Callithrix jacchus: one gene and its partner. The protein of the gene in region 2 purifies or fractionates together with the protein of the main gene of each other region. This does not show direct contact. Links are inferred from orthologs where the notes say so. Each region holds a gene or a part of one and is shown on either strand. Other genes may lie near its edges.

The links.
Region 1: the proteins of CDC42 (region 2) and MAP3K11 purify together in Homo sapiens (affinity purification with western blotting; 3 studies listed by BioGRID and IntAct, with this or other methods). This does not show direct contact. The link is inferred for Callithrix jacchus from reciprocal best matches to the Homo sapiens genes CDC42 and MAP3K11.

Annotation. Positions count from the first base shown.
Region 1 is NC_133511.1:122,692,939-122,696,902, reverse strand, and holds part of MAP3K11 (mitogen-activated protein kinase kinase kinase 11), read left to right. Parts: intron 1-181; coding exon 182-330; intron 331-435; coding exon 436-611; intron 612-733; coding exon 734-977; intron 978-1,445; coding exon 1,446-1,559; intron 1,560-2,151; coding exon 2,152-2,287; intron 2,288-2,378; coding exon 2,379-2,470; intron 2,471-3,964. UniProt on the Homo sapiens protein: Activates the JUN N-terminal pathway. Required for serum-stimulated cell proliferation and for mitogen and cytokine activation of MAPK14 (p38), MAPK3 (ERK) and MAPK8 (JNK1) through phosphorylation and activation of MAP2K4/MKK4 and MAP2K7/MKK7.
Region 2 is NC_133508.1:58,835,460-58,839,423, forward strand, and holds part of CDC42 (cell division control protein 42 homolog), read left to right. Parts: intron 1-3,015; 5' UTR 3,016-3,065; coding exon 3,066-3,170; intron 3,171-3,964. UniProt on the Homo sapiens protein: Plasma membrane-associated small GTPase which cycles between an active GTP-bound and an inactive GDP-bound state. In active state binds to a variety of effector proteins to regulate cellular responses. Involved in epithelial cell polarization processes.

The DNA of each region.
Region 1 (3,964 bases), on a different chromosome or scaffold from region 2:
GGCCCCTGGTGGGGCTAGACAGGGTCTGCTTCGGGGCTTCGGAGGGCAGAGGTGGCTGCCTAAGTCTAGGGCTGGGACAGGGACCCAAACCACTTAGCTCCTAGTCGCTTTTGGGTGAAGTGGCAGTAAGGGGGTAGGGGCTGGGAGAGAAGAGAACACAGGCCTGTTGTCTCACCCACAGCTTTGGGGTGCTGCTGTGGGAACTGCTGACCGGAGAGGTGCCCTACCGTGGCATTGACTGCCTCGCTGTGGCCTATGGCGTAGCTGTTAACAAGCTCACACTGCCCATCCCATCCACCTGCCCCGAGCCCTTCGCACAGCTTATGGCCGGTAAGAGGACACGGAGGGCAGGTGAGGGGCAGAGCTCCCTAGCCCAGGACGCATCCACCCACAGACCCCTTCTTATTCTGTCCCCGCTGCACGCGGTGCCCCTAGACTGCTGGGCGCAGGACCCTCACCGCAGGCCCGACTTCGCCTCCATCCTGCAGCAGCTGGAGGCGCTGGAGGCACAGGTCCTGCGGGAAATGCCGCGGGACTCCTTTCACTCCATGCAAGAAGGTTGGAAACGCGAGATCCAAGGTCTCTTCGACGAGCTGCGAGCAAAGGAAAAGGTAAGTCAAGGGACCCAGCTTTGGAAGGAGCATCTCCCCGGTCTCCTTGGGGCAGAGTGGGGGCGGGCGCTGCCGGGATCAGTGCCAGGCTGACCTCCCCGCCTTCGCTGTCTCGGCCGCAGGAACTACTGAGCCGCGAGGAGGAGCTGACGCGAGCCGCGCGCGAGCAGCGGTCACAAGCGGAGCAGCTGCGGCGGCGCGAGTACCTGCTGGCCCAGTGGGAGCTAGAGGTGTTCGAGCGCGAGCTGACGCTGCTGCTGCAGCAGGTGGACCGCGAGCGGCCGCACGTGCGCCGCCGCCGCGGCACCTTCAAGCGCAGCAAGCTCCGGGCGCGCGACGGCGGAGAGCGCATCAGCATGCCACTCGGTGAGGGGCGGGCACCTGGGCGTCCCTCGCCAGTGGCTGCGACCGCGGGGGGGTGGAGCCAGGCTGTGTGCTGACCACGCTGGGATTGGTTTAGGGTGTTGTGGGTGGGCCCATGAGCTGAAGGCTGGAAGGGGTGGAACCAGGAGTGTTTTTTCTGTCTGTGGGTGGGTTCTGGCGGAAGTATTTGCATGTCGGTCTGGAGTGGCTGCGGCCGGGAAGGGGTGTGGTGCACGAAAGTTCTGGGAAGGTCTAGGGGGCGGGGCAGGCCGGCGCTCGGACCTTTCCGACTTGGAGGCGCTTCTGGAGGTGGAGCCCAGCTTTCCTGATCCAGAACGCAGGGCTCGAGAAGCCAGTGAGGCTGGCCACTGCCACAGCCACCCTGCTGCTCCCTGCGTGGCCCGGGAGCCGGCCTTGGGCCCCTGCAGATCACAAACCTGCACCCTGCTCCCCCCCCCACCCAAACCCCAGACTTCAAGCACCGCATCACCGTGCAGGCCTCACCCGGCCTTGACCGGAGGAGAAACGTCTTCGAGGTCGGGGCTGGGGATTCGCCCACCTTCCCCCGGTTCCGGGCCATCCAATGTAAGAAACCTCACCTTTCATCCCCCTCTTCGTCCCTGAGCCCCTTATCCTCTATCTAACCTTGCCCTGGGAGGTGGATCTCACTCACTACCTCCTCTTCCTCCCTGCCCTAGGTCTAGACTGTTAGCTCTGAACTCCAAAGCTGCATTAATTTTATTTTTTTTTAGTCAAACAATTGTATGACACTATGTACTACTCATTTTCCTAAATGCTTTGCTAATAATCGATTTCTTACAGTAATTCTGTTAGGTAGTTATTTTTATTATCTAAGTTTTATAGATGAGGTAGTTATTTTTATTGTTAGCTAGGTTTTATGGATGGAGTAAAAAGTAACTTGCTACACAGCTAGTAAGTGGAAGAACCAGAATTCAAACCCAGGCAGTGTCCTAACTACTGAGTAGCAAATGTCAGCTGAAGGGCTAGATGAGATGCCACAGCCCACTGTCTGCCCCAAGACCCAAACCCATCTATCCCACCCAAAGCTCATCCTGGGAATGGTACAGGGCCCAGCCTGCTCCCCATACTCTGAAGCTGACTGTCACAGTGGAAGGAGGATACGGATCATCTCCAATTCCATTCGTTTCCCCTGTAGTGGAGCCTGCAGAGCCAGGCCAGGCATGGGGGCGCCAGTCTCCCCGACGTCTGGAGGACTCAAGCAATGGAGAGCGGCGAGCATGCTGGGCTTGGGGTCCCAGTTCCCCCAAGCCTGGGGAAGCCCAGAATGGGAGGTGAGTACCTGAGTGCCCTCCAGCCCCAGCATCATCTGCTTCCCAAGTTCTGAAATTCCTAAAGCACCCCTCCTTGCCCTCCCATCACCAGGAGAAGGTCCCGCATGGACGAAGCCACATGGTACCTGGATTCAGATGACTCATCCCCCTTAGGATCTCCTTCCACACCCCCAGCACTCAATGGTGAGTGGCCTTCCTCCTCTGGCAGGATCTGGCTGAGCTCCTTCCGTGGGCACCTTGGGGAGACCATGAGAGGCTAGCAGGCAGAGCAGGAGGCCTGCCCTGGTTGCTCTCATTCTAGAGACTAGGAAACCGAGGCTGAGACAGGACAGAGCCGATCCTAGAACCCAGGTCTGACCTATAGGCCCACAGTCAAGCTGCATACAGCCCAGGCCTCAGCTCGGGCTCAGAGTCTCGTCCTCTTATTCAGACCTAACCTGCAAGAAGGCTCTTCCCTGGCCCTGTGGCAGCCCCTGTGCCTTTAGCAGGCTCCAGGGAGAAAAGAAAGATAGGAAGCCCACCTGGCATTGGGTACCCAAGGCCCAGAGAGGGGAAGGAATCAGCCTGATCAGTCTGTGTGGGGTGGAGCCAGACAAGTGTCCGTCACACTGTGCTTCTCAGAGTCCCTTCTGGGAGCCTGTAGGTGAAGAAGAGAATGAGAAGGCTGATTAGTCAGGATCCAGGGCCCATTGTCACCACATCCAGCATAGCTCAGGGCCTTTCTCTTCTCTGTGATAATGACGGCCCTACTGTGTGCCAAACATTCCCTCCAAGCATTGATGGGGAGGGGCTACTGTTACCCCATTTTACAGATAAGAAAACTGAGTCTCTGAGAGGTGAAGTAACCCACCTCAAACCCCCAGCTGAGGATTTGAACCCAGAGAGACTTCAGCTCCCATGCTCATAGTGAGCTCAGAAGCTTTCACTTGAAGAAGGGGCTTCTCATGTATAGACTGCTTAGGTAGCCAGAGGGTTAGGCAGAGAGAAGGGCTCCAGCATCACTGGGAAGACAGCTTAGCTCAACACTGCCCATGTCTGACTGAGGCCAGAAAGCCTCCCTGCCTGTGGGTCCCTGTGCCAAACTAGGGACCATCCTTAGAGCCCCCACACCTGCTTCTCATAGCCAGAATGTAGGACCCACTTAGCTGCTCTCAGAAGAGTCCTGTTCAGCAAACTGTTTAAACTCACTCCTCCCACCCTACCCAGCCCATCACCTCCACCACTCCCTGAGCTACATTCCATAGTCAGAACAACTGCTAACCTTTGTTGGGTCTCTCCTATATGCCAAGCAGTTCTGTGAGGGGAGTAGTATTATTGGTCTCATTTTACAACAGAGGAAACTGAGGCACAGATTTAAGTGGTTTGATGTAAGGTACCCAGCAGGGCAGAGATTTGAACAGGGCCCTGGGCCCCTACCCACCCTGCCATTTGCTGCTCCAGCAGTTGCACTGCCCTAGGCAGCTGTCCTGCAGGGACTGAACTGAGAACTGGAAGGCCAAGGAGGCTTCTTGAATTTAACTTGCTCTAAAATGTACCAGGCCAGATGGGCCAAAGGAGAGCTCCAGGTCCTGTCAACCCAGGTATGTAGGTTGAAGCAGCCCCTGACTGTTCCACAGAAGCCTCTGGCCCTGAGCTCCCAGAAGCAGGGGCACAAGGGGCCTGAACCCCATTGTTTTC
Region 2 (3,964 bases):
TGAGAAAAGTAATACTGTTTTCATTTTACAGAAGGGGAAACCAAACTACACAGAGGTGACATAGCAAGAGTGTGGTAAAGCCACTCTGATTCCAAAACTTCTAGGCTCTTAACAGGGGACTCACAACCAACCAGTTTGTAACAAATTGCTAACAGTCAGGTCAGGAAGTCTAAGAAGTAGAAGACTTCTGGATAAATAGAAAGGGGAAGGGCAAACTCTATCTTGCTCTTTCTTCTTGCCTCCCTTTTCCCAATAAAATTCAGTAGTTACATGCAGAGTGAAAAACAGGAAGTGAGCTTAGCCCCTGTTTTTTGCTTCCTCTTCTTTATTTTTGCCTTCCTGTTTGCAATGCTGGTAACTCGTGGATATATGCTTGTCACTCCTCTAGCACTGATTACATTTGTTTTTATTAATGTCACTTCTCAGACAGTATAGTGTAATGTAATGTTTATTAAGAGCCGGGACTTGAGGCTGGGCACAGTGGCTCACACCTGTAATCCTAGCACTTTGGGAGGCCCAGGTGGTTGGATTACTTGAGGTCAGGAGTTAAAAGACCAGCCTTGCCAACATGGTGAAACTTTGTTTCTACTAAAAATAAAAAAATTATCCAAGTGTGGTGGCATGTTCCTGTAATCCCAGCTACTCGGGAGGCTGAGGCAGGAGAATTGCTTGAACCCAGGAAGCAGAGGTTGCAGCGGAGCTGAGATCATGCCACTGCACTCCAGCCTGGGCCTTAGAGTGAGACTCTCAAAAAAAAAAAAAAAAAAAAAAAGGAGGGACTTCAGAGTCAGACTGCTTGGGTTTAAATTATAATTCTACCCCTTACTGGCTAAATGACCTTCACTTAGTTACTTGCTGAGCCTCTTCTTACCTTTAATATAGGAATGATATAGTACATACTTCATAGGCTTTTTGGGAGGATAAAATGTGTGAATATGTGTAATATGGTTTGAGTAGTGCCTGGCACTTAGTAAAATGCTATATAAGAGTTTGCAGCTTACTATTATTATTTGAGAATGTTTTTAGATTGAACCAGTAATTGATTTAGCTTAAGGGTCAGGGCCCTTAACTTTTAATGCTATATAAGTTTGGGTGCTTCTCTAGTGCATAAAAAGAGAAGGAAAAAGGAGATATAAAAGGAAATTGAATAAAGAAAGATAAATATGGCTGGTTGTGGTTAGCTCATGCATGTAATCTCAGCACTTTAGGAGGCCTAAGTGAGTGGATTACTTGAGCCCAGAAGTTCAGGACCAGCCTGGGTAACAGTGAGACCCAGTCTCTCTTTAAAAAAAAAAAAAAGGCTAGGCATGGTGGCATGTGCCTCTGGTTCCAGCTACTTGGGAGGCCAAGGTGGGAGGATTGCTTGAATCTGGGAGGTGGAGGTTGCAGTGACCTGAGATTGTGCCACTGCACTCCAGCCTGGGTGATGGGAGTAAAACCCTGTCTCAAAAGAAAAAAAAAAAAAAAAGATAAATATACTGCAGATAATTTTGATGAGGAACGGGAGAGTATATTTCTTGTAGGTTACTCATACTAACAGTTTCATATTCTTTTTGTTCCATGAGTTTTGCATCCATTTAGTAGCTCCCAGTGCACTGGTCTAGAAGTGCTCAGTGCTAGAAGTATCGTGGTACATGAGGTAGTATACATTCATTTACAGAGATGTTAATAGGCATTTATAAATTGTTTTGATGAAGTGTTGTGAATGGTGCTATAGAAGCATGTGGCATCTGACTAAGAGTGAGGTAGTTCTGTATTTTTATGTTTAATTATAATCCCTTTAGGATTATAATTTAAATAGGACTTTATCTTAAAATCTAGGTATATCTTGGGTGGTGTTTCTTTTCATTCTTTCATAAAACTATTAAAGTATTTCATTGAATCTAACATCCCAATTTCATAGAAGTCAAAATGTGGGGGAAAACGGCTGATAATGATTCTAAGAGACTCTCAATGAAGATACATTCTGACTTTAGAGATGTTTAAATGTGATAAAAAGCATCTCAAATTAATGACTCTTTGGTACTTGTAATTGATAGCTTCTTAAAATGGAGGACTCTAGTAAGAATCTATAGTATCTGTTTATAAGTCACTATGATTTAGAGCAATCTGACCTTTTCATTATAAAAATATAAGTTTTGGACTAGGCATTCTGGTGCTAAAACAGCTGCTAAGACCAGTGATCACCCTGATCTTTGTTCAGTTCCTCATGTTACTCATGTAATTACTGTGTGATCGTGTGGTGCTCTGTTGCTTGTTGGTTAGAGCCTGAGTAACTATAGCCCTAAGGCTGGATAATGAATCATTCTGTAAAGCATGGCCTTTGTATTTCAGTCTAGTTCACATGCATGCATATATATATATATATGTGTGTGTGTGTGCACATGTAACCAGAGAACAGCTTTCACAAAATAATACTGCACAATACTTGGAATTTTCTCTGATATAGCCTCCTCTCTTTTTTTTTTTTTTTTTTTTTTGAGACGGAGTCTTGCTCTGTCACCAGGCTGGAGTGCAGTGGCCTGGTCTTAGCTCATTGAAACCTCCACCTCCTGGGTTCAAGTGATTCTCCCCCCAGCCTCCTGAGTAGCTGGGACTACAGGCATGCGCCACCACACCCAGCTAATTTTTGTAATTTTAGTGGAGATGGGTGGCCAGGATGATCTCTTGACCTCATGATTGACCTGCCTTGGCCTCCCAAAGTGCTGGGATTACAAGTGTGAGCCACTGCACCTGGCCTTCTCTCTTTATAAAAAGGAATATGCTGCTTAGCATACCACTTTGGACCTTTTAAAAATAACACTAAAGAAGTTGAAACAGCCATGGATCAGAAACTTAGAAATGGACTTTGTTATTGTAACTTTTAGCAAGTCAATGTTTTTCTTACTGGGTTCTTTTAGCCATAATAGTTGTGTTCTTTTCTTCCTCTGAGCGCCTGTTAACCTGTTGCTGAGGGGAAAAAATACATATATAAGTAATAAATAAACAAAACAAATGTCTTTAATCTTTTTGCAGGTTAACATCAGATTTGAAATATTTAAAGTGGATACAAAACTATTTCAGCAATGCAGACAATTAAGTGTGTTGTTGTGGGTGATGGTGCTGTTGGTAAAACATGTCTCCTGATATCCTACACAACAAACAAATTTCCATCAGAATATGTACCGACTGTAAGTATAAAGGCTTCCTTCTGTTAGTAAAATGTGTTAAAATTTGATATCCTTTTGGAAACTCTTTATGTGTACTGAATTTTTTCTGTTGTCTGCCTTTGTTTCCTGTTTTTAAAGATCTTGACTTCTCATGGGTAAATTATATACACTTTAAAATTAAACAGCTGAAAAATCAGTGGAAAGTCAGAAGGGGTGACACACGGGTTTGCAAGAAGTGCTGGGAGGCAAAACTCCCATAGACAAGATTCTAACGAGTGGTGGTCTCAATTTGGTGAAGTATGCGCTACATCTTGGAATGAGGTGACCTTTTTTTTTTTATATTTTGGCCAATTATTGATCCAATACTTGCAGGTCTCCTGGGATACCATTTGGGTCCTGTAACGTCAGAGAAAGTAGTGTGTGTCTCCGCTTTTCTTGCAGAGCTATTCTCTTAGCAGTAATGGAGTTCCAAACTGGGTCTTAGAGGCAGAGAAGAGAAGACCGTTATGTTATGAGAACACCAACAGAAACCTTTGGGAGTCACCCACCACAGCTGTTTTTTTTTGGTTTGTTTGTTTTTGAGATGGAGTCTCACTCTGTTGCCCAGGCTGGAGTGCATTGGTGCAATCTTGGCTCACTGCAACCTCTGCCTCCCGGGTTCAAGTGATTCTCCTGCCTCAGCCTCCTGAATAGCTGGGATTACCGGCGCCGGCCACCACACCTGACTAATTTTTATATTTTTAGTTGAGACTGGGTTTCACCATGTTGGCCAGGCTGGTCTCCAACTCCTGACCTCAAATGATCCACCTGCCTTG